2 linked regions of the Sus scrofa genome follow. The protein of the gene in region 2 purifies or fractionates together with the protein of the main gene of each other region. This does not show direct contact. Links are inferred from orthologs where the notes say so. Each region holds a gene or a part of one and is shown on either strand. Other genes may lie near its edges. The genes, in order: RPRD1B and POLR2D.

Region 1 (4,585 bases), on a different chromosome or scaffold from region 2:
GTGTTTATCTTCCCCTGAAGAAAGTAAGCTTCTGAGGGTTCTGTCTGTTGCCCTAGAACGGTGCTTTATATGTAGGTGCTCAAAAATTACTGGCTGAATGAATAAATGAACCACTCACTGCCTCACAGTGAAGAATTTGTGGATAAGATAAACTTGATTTGATTCCTGGTTCTGTCATTTCTTTTGTCCAGGTGACAGTGAGTTCTCACTCATGTATTACGTTTTCTCACCTATCAAATGTGATCACAGCCCCCTACCCCAAAAGGATTAAATAAAAGAATATATGCAATGTGCTTAATACACAGCAACCTGGTATAAAAGTATTCAGTATATAACACTATTACTTAATACAGAAAGATGGTCTAGATTTGGACTCAAAGGCCCTAGGTTATAATTATGACTGTGTGATTTTAGGCTCTTCACTTCTTTTATACTAATTCACTCAATCAGCTATGAGTCAGCTGCTGGAGTAAAGAAGACAGTCCTTTCCCTCTAATCTTCATTACATGAACTTGGGTCGGTCACCTTAACCTTTTTCAGCCTCACTTTCCACATCTGTCAAATGGAAATAATATAATACCCATCTCATAGTTTTGTTGAGGATTAAGTGAGTTACTATGTAAAAAGAGCAGCTGCTCACTTATGTTGGCTTTGATTGTGATGATTCTAGTCTGGCGGAATAAAAGCATCTAAGCAAAGGACTACAATACAGTGCAGTAAGAGCAACAACAGGCACCAACTAGAACAGTGTCTCCTAACTGGAATCTGCCCACAACAATCAGTTCCCCTAGGATCAAGACATTTTAAAACTCTGTTATGTCTACAAGAACCTAACTCCTGCCACCACCCTGCAGCAGTTTAGACAAATTTTTCTGATTTGACAACTGGGATTTAAAACTTTTTAAAAATAGGAAATGGGCTCAGTCTCAAATAGTGTTTCTGGAAGGTCAGTGAACCCACTGACTTCCTTACCTTCCTCTCCCCAAGTTAACATTTTACTTAAATTGAAGCAACAGTCCAAAGGACCCCCAGAGGGCAAAGACGGTTTGTAGTCCCCTGAAAACACCAGCCAAGAGCCTAGAGCCCCGAAGTGTATTTTATGGCGGTGCTCTCACAGACTAACATCAGAACTGGCCATTAAAGGCTGGTCCTGAAGGCCGAGCGGGAGCCCACAAGCTGAGGAGGGGGACGTCACCTTTGTAGAAAGAACAGCAAGAGCTAAAGAGTGAAGGCGTGAAAAGTGCACGTGGGTGGCGTGGAAGAACCAAAAAGCTTTTTGTGGGGGGCACCCAGAGAGCAAGACATGTATGGAGGAAAAGTGCGGGCTAGGGCCTGCCAGGTGAGGGAGAAATTCATCCCATCCCCAGGTCATGATCTCTCCGCCTCAGGATTCCCCTCTAAGGGCTCCAGCTTGCGGGGCTCCCTCTAGATCGCGCCACTCTCTTCCCTTACCTCGTCTTCCAGCCTTTCCCTCACTCTCCCGCCTCCTCCGCCCCGCCGGAAGTGACGCGTAACTCGCGCGCCGCACCGCTCCGCGCCAGAAAGGTTCCGCGATAGCGGGAGAAAGGGTGCCAGGGCGACTCACTGCGCCTGTGTGCGGGCGCGAGCGGTCAAAGCGCTTTCCGGAGGCCGCCGAAGTGCTCTCGTTTCCCGGTCTGTCGCTTTTGGAGTGCCCCGAGCGAGATTTAGAGAGGTCTACACCACCGGAGCGGTGTTTTTCTACACTCTGACTCCTCTTGGTGCCCCGCCACTCCGGCGCTTGCCCTTTGACCCCGCTGTGGCGGTGGGGTGAGAGGTCGGTGGCCATCTTGTGGAGGCGGCGCGGGCGGCTGTTACTGCGGAGACCCATCCCCTCCCCCTCCTGGCACCCCCGCTGTCTCTCAGTCTGTAAAGAGTCGTGCAGGCCGTCAGGTGAGGCCCCGGCCTCGTGCCGTCACTCTTCCCGCCGCTCTGGGCGGCCTAGGCCGCTCCTTGCCGGGCCTCACCGCCGCCACCATGTCCTCCTTCTCCGAGTCTGCGTTAGAGAAGAAGCTCTCGGAGCTGAGCAACTCTCAGCAGAGCGTGCAGACCCTCTCCCTGTGGCTCATCCACCACCGCAAGCACGCAGGACCCATCGTCTCAGTGTGGCACCGTGAGCTCCGCAAAGGTAAACACCCCCTCCACCCATTTGGGTCCTCCCCACGGGCTGTCTTCTCCCCCACCCACTCCTTAGGCCCCTCTAGCTTTTTAGTTGAACCTGGCTTTCCGGGCCTGGGCCTCTGAGTGACTGCTCTTCGGAGGTTGAAAACTGTGTTATCCACATTTCTCGGAGAAGGAAATCAAGTCCGGGAAGGTACTTGTCTGAGGTTCCACCGACCAGAGCTCAGGACTCTCGGTTCACCCAGCCGTTTTTCCCTCCGGCTTCTCCTGACACTTGTGACTATTATTCTCTCGGCGGCGTTGAGCGCCTGGTGGAGGGTACAGGCCCTAGCCTGTCGTGTGCTAGACTCTTGCTGGGCATTTGGAGTAAGACCGCCTAGACAGAGTCCTGGCTCAGCCACTTGCGATCTGAGTGATATCGGGCAAGTTTCTTCTCCCTTTGCCTCTATTTTCTCATCTGTCAAAGGAGGACAAGGGTAGCTGCCACTTACAGAGACTTTGTTCTGTGCAAGTCACTATGCTAGGACCTTGCATATCTCCTGGCACTTAGTCCTCAGCACTGCCTTGGGAAGTGGGTACAATCACTGCCATTATAGAGAAGTTAAGGGGCCCCACCACCTAGACCTTGTCTCTCAGTTTCTCCTCTTCATTTCTCATGCAACTCTTCATTGGTTCGAGACCCTGCTCAGGATCTGACAGTCATTGATTGAGTTCAGCCTGTTATATGCCAGGCGCTGGTTTGGGAGCTTGATAGCATGTTGGCTGCAGAGGCCAACTGCCTGGAATCTGGGTCCAATTTTGCCATTTACTAAGCCCCCGAGGTTTAACCTCTCTCTTCCTCAGTTTCCTGATCTGTAAACTGGAGATGATGATAACTGCTATTTATGTGCCTTTGTTCTGTGCCAGGTGCAGTACTGATATCTTTACATATATTGTCATTTTTTATTTATTTTCTTTATTTTATTTTGTCTTTTTAGGGCCGCACCCGCAGCATATGGAGGTTCCCAGGCTAGGAGTCTAATTGGAGCGGTAGCTGGCCTATGCCATAGCCACAGCAACACTAGATCCAATCTGAGCCACATTTGCGACCTACACCGCAGCTCACAGCAACGCCCGATCCTTAACCCACTGAGCAAGGCCAGGGATCAAACCTGCAACCTTCTGGTTCTTAGTGGGATTCATTTCTGCTGCGCCATGATGGGAACTCCACATTGTCATCTTTTAAATTCTCAGAGTTGTATAAAGTAGGAGCTTGGCAGGTGAGAAAAAAATGGAGGCTCAATCAGCCTGTGGTGTGGAGTAAACAGATAATCCAAGTGAACGCCTAGCATGTGTCAGGCACAGTGTAGGCACTGGATTAATAAAAGCGAGGTGGGATACTGATTACTCAGTGTGGGGCATGTTTTTTGCCTCAAGTTGCTTGCAGTCTGGTCGGGGAGGATGGCCATCTACACGGCTATCTGAAACGCCAGTGAGTTCCGTAGCAGAAAGCTGAGAAGATGAAGCTTAGCGCTGTTTTGGACAGCCTGTGTGTGGTAGGCCCATGAGAGCTTAGGAAGTAACTTTACATGTGTTCTCTGCTATCCGTGAGGTTGGGGTGTCACTCTGTCTTACAGATGAGGAAACTCAAGTGACTAAGTGGTATTTTCAAGGCCTTAGAGCCACAGAGGCTCAGACTACATCAGATTGGCAGACCCAAAATCCAGTATTTTTTCAGTTCTAGTCCTCTGGCAGACATGCCTCAAATATTATATGCTTTACTGTGGTGAGGGTCCTTTCAAGCACTAGGTGGTTGGGGGATAGAGCCTGGGGCTCCCAGAACCTCCCTCATGTACCCCCTTGTGCCATTCAGATATTTCTGTCATCAGAGTTGTGGGGAAAATTTTTGAAGTGCCTCTACAGGATCCTCTGATAGGATCTCAGAGGCAGGTCAGAGGCTATCTCAAATGTCTTCTTTTGTGAGGTCTTCTTGATTCCCCACATCACCCTATTTGAGTTATCAAAAGTAGCAATTTAAAGAGTACTTTTGTTTATGAAGCTCCTTTAACCCTAATATCATCTCGGGGAACCTTATGTTGTAAATAGGCCAGCATTATTATTCCCATTTTATAGATGAGAAGATATGAGGAGATTAAATATTTTGTTAAGGAGTATATAGTTGGGACATAAGCCCAGAGTTCTCTGACACCAAAACTTTTTTTTCAAGTATCCAGTGCATCAGTGCACTTAATACTTCAACTCTACCTGTAGTGCTTTTGTTTATTAGAATTAACCAGCATTTATTTCATTCATACTAGTTATGTCTCTTTCATAGAGGGAGAAACTAGACCCTCTAGTTGTAATGTGCACAGCATTTAACAGTGCCTGTTACAAAGTTAAAAAATAGGAGTGGAGTTCCCTTGTGGCACAGTAAGTTAAGTATCCAGCAATGTCACTGCAGTGCCCT
Region 2 (4,407 bases):
GTATCCAAGGGGACATGAGTTCGATCCCTGGCTTCAATCATTGGGTCAAGAATATGGTGCTACCATGAGATGTGGCATAGGCTGCAGATGCAGTTCCGATCCCTTGTTGCTGTGGCTGTGGCAAAGGCTGGCAGCTGTTGTTCCAGCCTGGGAACAACCATATGCCGCAAGAGCGGCCCTATAAAGAATAAAAAGAAAAGAAAACATCCTCCCTCTTTGTTACAACACCTTAAAAAAGAAAAAGAGGAGTTCCTTTGTGGTGCAGTATGTTAAGGACCCAGTGCTATACTGCTGTGGTACAGGTTTCATCCCTGCACTAGGAATTTCCACATGCTGCACATATGGCTAAAAAAAAAAAAAAAAAAAATCTGTAATTTTTATAGCAAAATCCTACATTTGCAAAGAAAAAGAATGTACATGTATGTATTCATAAATGAGCAGTTTAGAAACTTTACAGTAGTTTCCTCAGGGTGAAAGGGAGGGGAATTTCACATTTTACTATGGATATAGTAATTTTTTATTTTATTTTTTGCTTTTTAGGGCTGCACCTGTGGCAAATGGAGGTTCCCAGGCTAGTGGTTCAATCGGAGCTATAGCTGCTGGCCTATACCACGGCCACAGCAACATGGGATCTTAGCCGTGGGACCTATACCATAGCTCATGGCAATGCCAGATCCTTAAGCCACTGAGTGAGTGAGGGATTAAACCTTATCTTCATGTATACTAGGCAGGTTTGTTGCTGCTGAGTTACTTGGGAACTCCTAAGATACGACATTTTAAAATCTTAAGCTTTCTAGGAGTTTCTGTCATGGCTTATCGGAAACAAATCTGACTAGGAACCATGAGGTTGCGGGTTTGATCCTTAGCCTCGCTCAGTGGGTCAAGGATCCAGTGTTGCGGTGAGCTGTGGTGTAGGTTGCAGACGTGGCTCATATCTGACATTGCTGTGGCTCTGGCGTTGGCCAGCAGCAACAACTCCCGTTAGACCCCTAGCCTGGGAACCTTCACATGACAAAAGTGCGGCCCTAAAAAGACAAAAGGCATTTTATTTATTTTTTAATAAATAATATCTTAAGTTTTCTACTCATTTTGGGTTTCTAAATTACAAACTAAGTACATCACACTGCACAAAGGAAGTTTCCTGATAGCAAAAATGTGTTTTACTTGCTGCCACGTGACAAAGATTCTCTCTCTGACCAAACTCTAGGCAGAATCCTTTGCACCCTCTTCTTGGCTAGGACTCAACTTTGGCCCACAGACTTGAACAAAACACTAACATGATTTCTAACAGCTCAAGATTACATGATTTCTAACTGCATTCCTGGGATGAGTCTAGCTCCTTTAAAGTAACTGCCTATAACAGGAACTATACTATAAGTAGCTCCAGTTGTGGCTCAGCAGTAATGAACCCAGCTAGCATCCATGAGGAATCGGGCTCGATCCTCAGCCTTGCTCAGTGGGTTAAGGATCCAGTGTTGCCGAGAGCTGTGTGTGGTGTAGGTCACAGACGAGGCTCGGATCTTGTGTTGCAGGCCAGCAGCTGCAGCTCGGATTTGACCCCTAGCCTGGGAACTTCCATATGTGGCCCTAAAAATCAACAAAATAAAGTAAAATAAAATAAAATAGCTGCCTATGAAAACTAAAGGCTGCCAAAATAATTCACTATTTATTCCAGCCACCTCCTGGAGATAGAGCCCCCATCCCCAGCCCAGAGCAGAAGTGGGAGGGTAGGAACCTGATTTTTTGGTGTTCCCGTCGTGGCACAGTGGAAATGAATCCGACTAGGAACCATGAGGTGGCGGGTTCAACCTCTGGCCTTGCTCAGTGGGTTAAGGATTTGGCATTGCTGTGAGCTGTGGTGTAGGTCACAGACACGGCTCGGATCTCATGTTGCTATGGCCATGGTATAAGCCAGCAGCTGCAGCTCCGATTAGACCTCTAGTCTGGGAACCTCCATATGCTGCAGGTGCGGCCCTAAAAAAAAAAAAAAAAAAAAAAAAAAAAATTATTATAGTTGATTTACAGTGTTCTGTCAATTTTTGCTGTACAGCAAAGTGACCCAGTTATACATTTATACACCTTCTTTTTTTCACGTTATCTTCCATCATGTGTCATCACAAGGGATTATACACAGATCCCTGTGCTATACAGCAGACTCTCAGGAGCCTAATTTTCCTAAGTGACAGTTAACAAATCCAAATGGGTTTCAAACTGACCAACTCTTCTCTTCCCATTTTTCTTTTAATAATGATTTTTATTTTTTCCATTAGAGTTGGTTTACAGTGTTCTGTCAATTTTTTACTATACAGCAGAATGACCCAGTCACACATGCACATATATATTTTTTCTCACATTATCCTCCACCATGCTCCATCACAAGTGACTAGATATAGTTCCCATTTCTACACAGCAGAATCTCACCGCTTATTCACTCCAAATGCTATACTTTGTTCTTCCCATTTTTCGTAGTTTTTCACTTCCCTGACCCTAGTAAGCCCCGCTCACCTCTCCCTATTCCCTCATTCTCTCTTTAAAACGTTCAGTCACCTCTCTACAAATCCAAGTTGGGACTAGTCTACGCTTGACTCTTTTCTCTACTGCAATGGTATATTACTGATTAAAATCGGTCCTGACCCCTTTAGTGCCGGTTTTATCTTTGACACATCCCTCCAGAACTTCGCAGAGTTTATCAGATAAAACGAATTACTTAAACAGGAGTAAGAGGCCGCCCAGAGCCAGTGCGGAGTTGGGCGCCGAAGGCTCCAGAGCGGTAGGTGTGCAATCAAGCTGGCCTGCTCTCACCGTACCGCTCCCCGCTGGCCTGCATCCCCCTCCTCCCGGCCCTTCGCCGCGCCCGCCAGCCCCAGCTAGGCCTACGCCAACCACACCGGACAACCGGGATAGTCGGGAAGCCCCAGGCCGCACCTTTGGGAAAAATGAGTTGTGAGGCATCCTCCTCTACATCACCAGCCCGCGGATCGCTGCCACCAGCCGCCATTGACCTGCCACGAACCTCCACTCGCACCGCCGGAAACGGAAGCGCCGATCCACGAAACACAGCACGGAAGGGGCGTGGTTTCGGAGACAGGGCGGAGTCCGAATAGGGTTGAGCAGGCCCCCACATGTGGGCGGACCCTCTGGGCTGGGCGGAACCTCTGGGCTGGGCGGGACCTGGATGGGGCGGGCGAAGCTGGGAGGCGGCAGAGAGGAGTGAAGCGACCTTAGGCTGCTCCCAAGGAAGTGGAAAGGAGCCCGAGACCGGGATTGCGGGGCTCACTCATCGCCGAGGGGCCGTCCTGCACTGGCCTCGCGGGAGAAGCCATCCTCGCCTCTTCCCCCGTACGCCCTTCGCCGCGCGGCGTGGCGACCGGTCGCTATACCTCTCTGAGGCTCAGTTAACTCACCTGTGGGGTGTGGATGAGAATACCTGCCTCCCAGGGCAGAGGGAAGGATTAGATGAGATGCAGGAACGCGCGGTTCCGAGCAGCTGGAACGAGAGGAACTCTCCTTGATGGGAAGCTGGGTAGGTGACTGAAAACGTATGATTTCCTTTATAGCCTTAAGCATTTAAAATTTTTTATTTGTAGTGGATTTTTCTAATACTTCTGAGCACGTGGATAGTGATATCGAGAGGCCTGATGGAATATTTGGGTGATACTTAGAAAACTAAGCAAATGAAAAATGATTTTGTTTCCAATGTGAGAGAAAACAGATGGTTGTACAGTGAAAGGAATAATCATAGTGCACTACTTGGCTCAGCAATGAACAGTGCTTAAGTATCATGTAAACTCTGCTAACAAAAAAAGGCATTACCAGACAAGACTAATTTTTACAAAATTAATTTGCCTTTTTTTAAATTTAATTTTTATTTATTTATTATTATTATTATTATTTTGTCTTTTTGCCATTTCTTGGGCCGCTCCTGCGGCATATGGAGGTTCCCAGGCAAGGGGTCTAATCGGAGCTATAGCCACCAGCCTACGCCAGAGCCACAGCAACGTGGGATCCAAGCCGCCTCTGCAACCTACACCACAGCTCACGGCAATGCCGGATCGTTAACCCACTGAGCAAGGCCAGGGATCGAACCCGAAACCTCATGGTTCCTAGTTGGATTCGTTAACCACTGCGCCACGACGGGAACTCCTAATTTGCCTTCTATCTGTATTTCCAAAAGAGATGTATTGGGTAAATCAATGGTAGTTTATATAGTATTGGCAGAGCTTTTTACTGCTTCAAAGTGCTTTCCTACACAATCCAACAGAGCTGTGGATTGATGTTCTGATGAAGAGGCTGGGGACAGGTAGCTGCTGGGTATGGGAGGTAGTTCTGAAGCTCAGTGTAGGCCTCTTTCTCCCATTTAGCCACCCAGCAGGACTTTACAGAGTACCTACTGCTTACCGGACCTCA

What was found.
Region 1: the proteins of POLR2D (region 2) and RPRD1B purify together in Homo sapiens (affinity purification with mass spectrometry; 3 studies listed by BioGRID and IntAct, counting the BioPlex papers as one, with this or other methods). This does not show direct contact. The link is inferred for Sus scrofa from reciprocal best matches to the Homo sapiens genes POLR2D and RPRD1B.

What each region holds. Positions count from the first base shown.
Region 1 is NC_010459.5:41,092,453-41,097,037, forward strand, and holds the start of RPRD1B (regulation of nuclear pre-mRNA domain-containing protein 1B), read left to right. Parts: upstream 1-1,539; 5' UTR 1,540-1,995; coding exon 1,996-2,146; intron 2,147-4,585. UniProt on the Homo sapiens protein: Interacts with phosphorylated C-terminal heptapeptide repeat domain (CTD) of the largest RNA polymerase II subunit POLR2A, and participates in dephosphorylation of the CTD by RPAP2. Transcriptional regulator which enhances expression of CCND1.
Region 2 is NC_010457.5:59,478,293-59,482,699, reverse strand, and holds the start of POLR2D (DNA-directed RNA polymerase II subunit RPB4), read right to left. Parts: upstream 3,070-4,407; 5' UTR 2,999-3,069; coding exon 2,926-2,998; intron 1-2,925. UniProt on the Homo sapiens protein: Core component of RNA polymerase II (Pol II), a DNA-dependent RNA polymerase which synthesizes mRNA precursors and many functional non-coding RNAs using the four ribonucleoside triphosphates as substrates.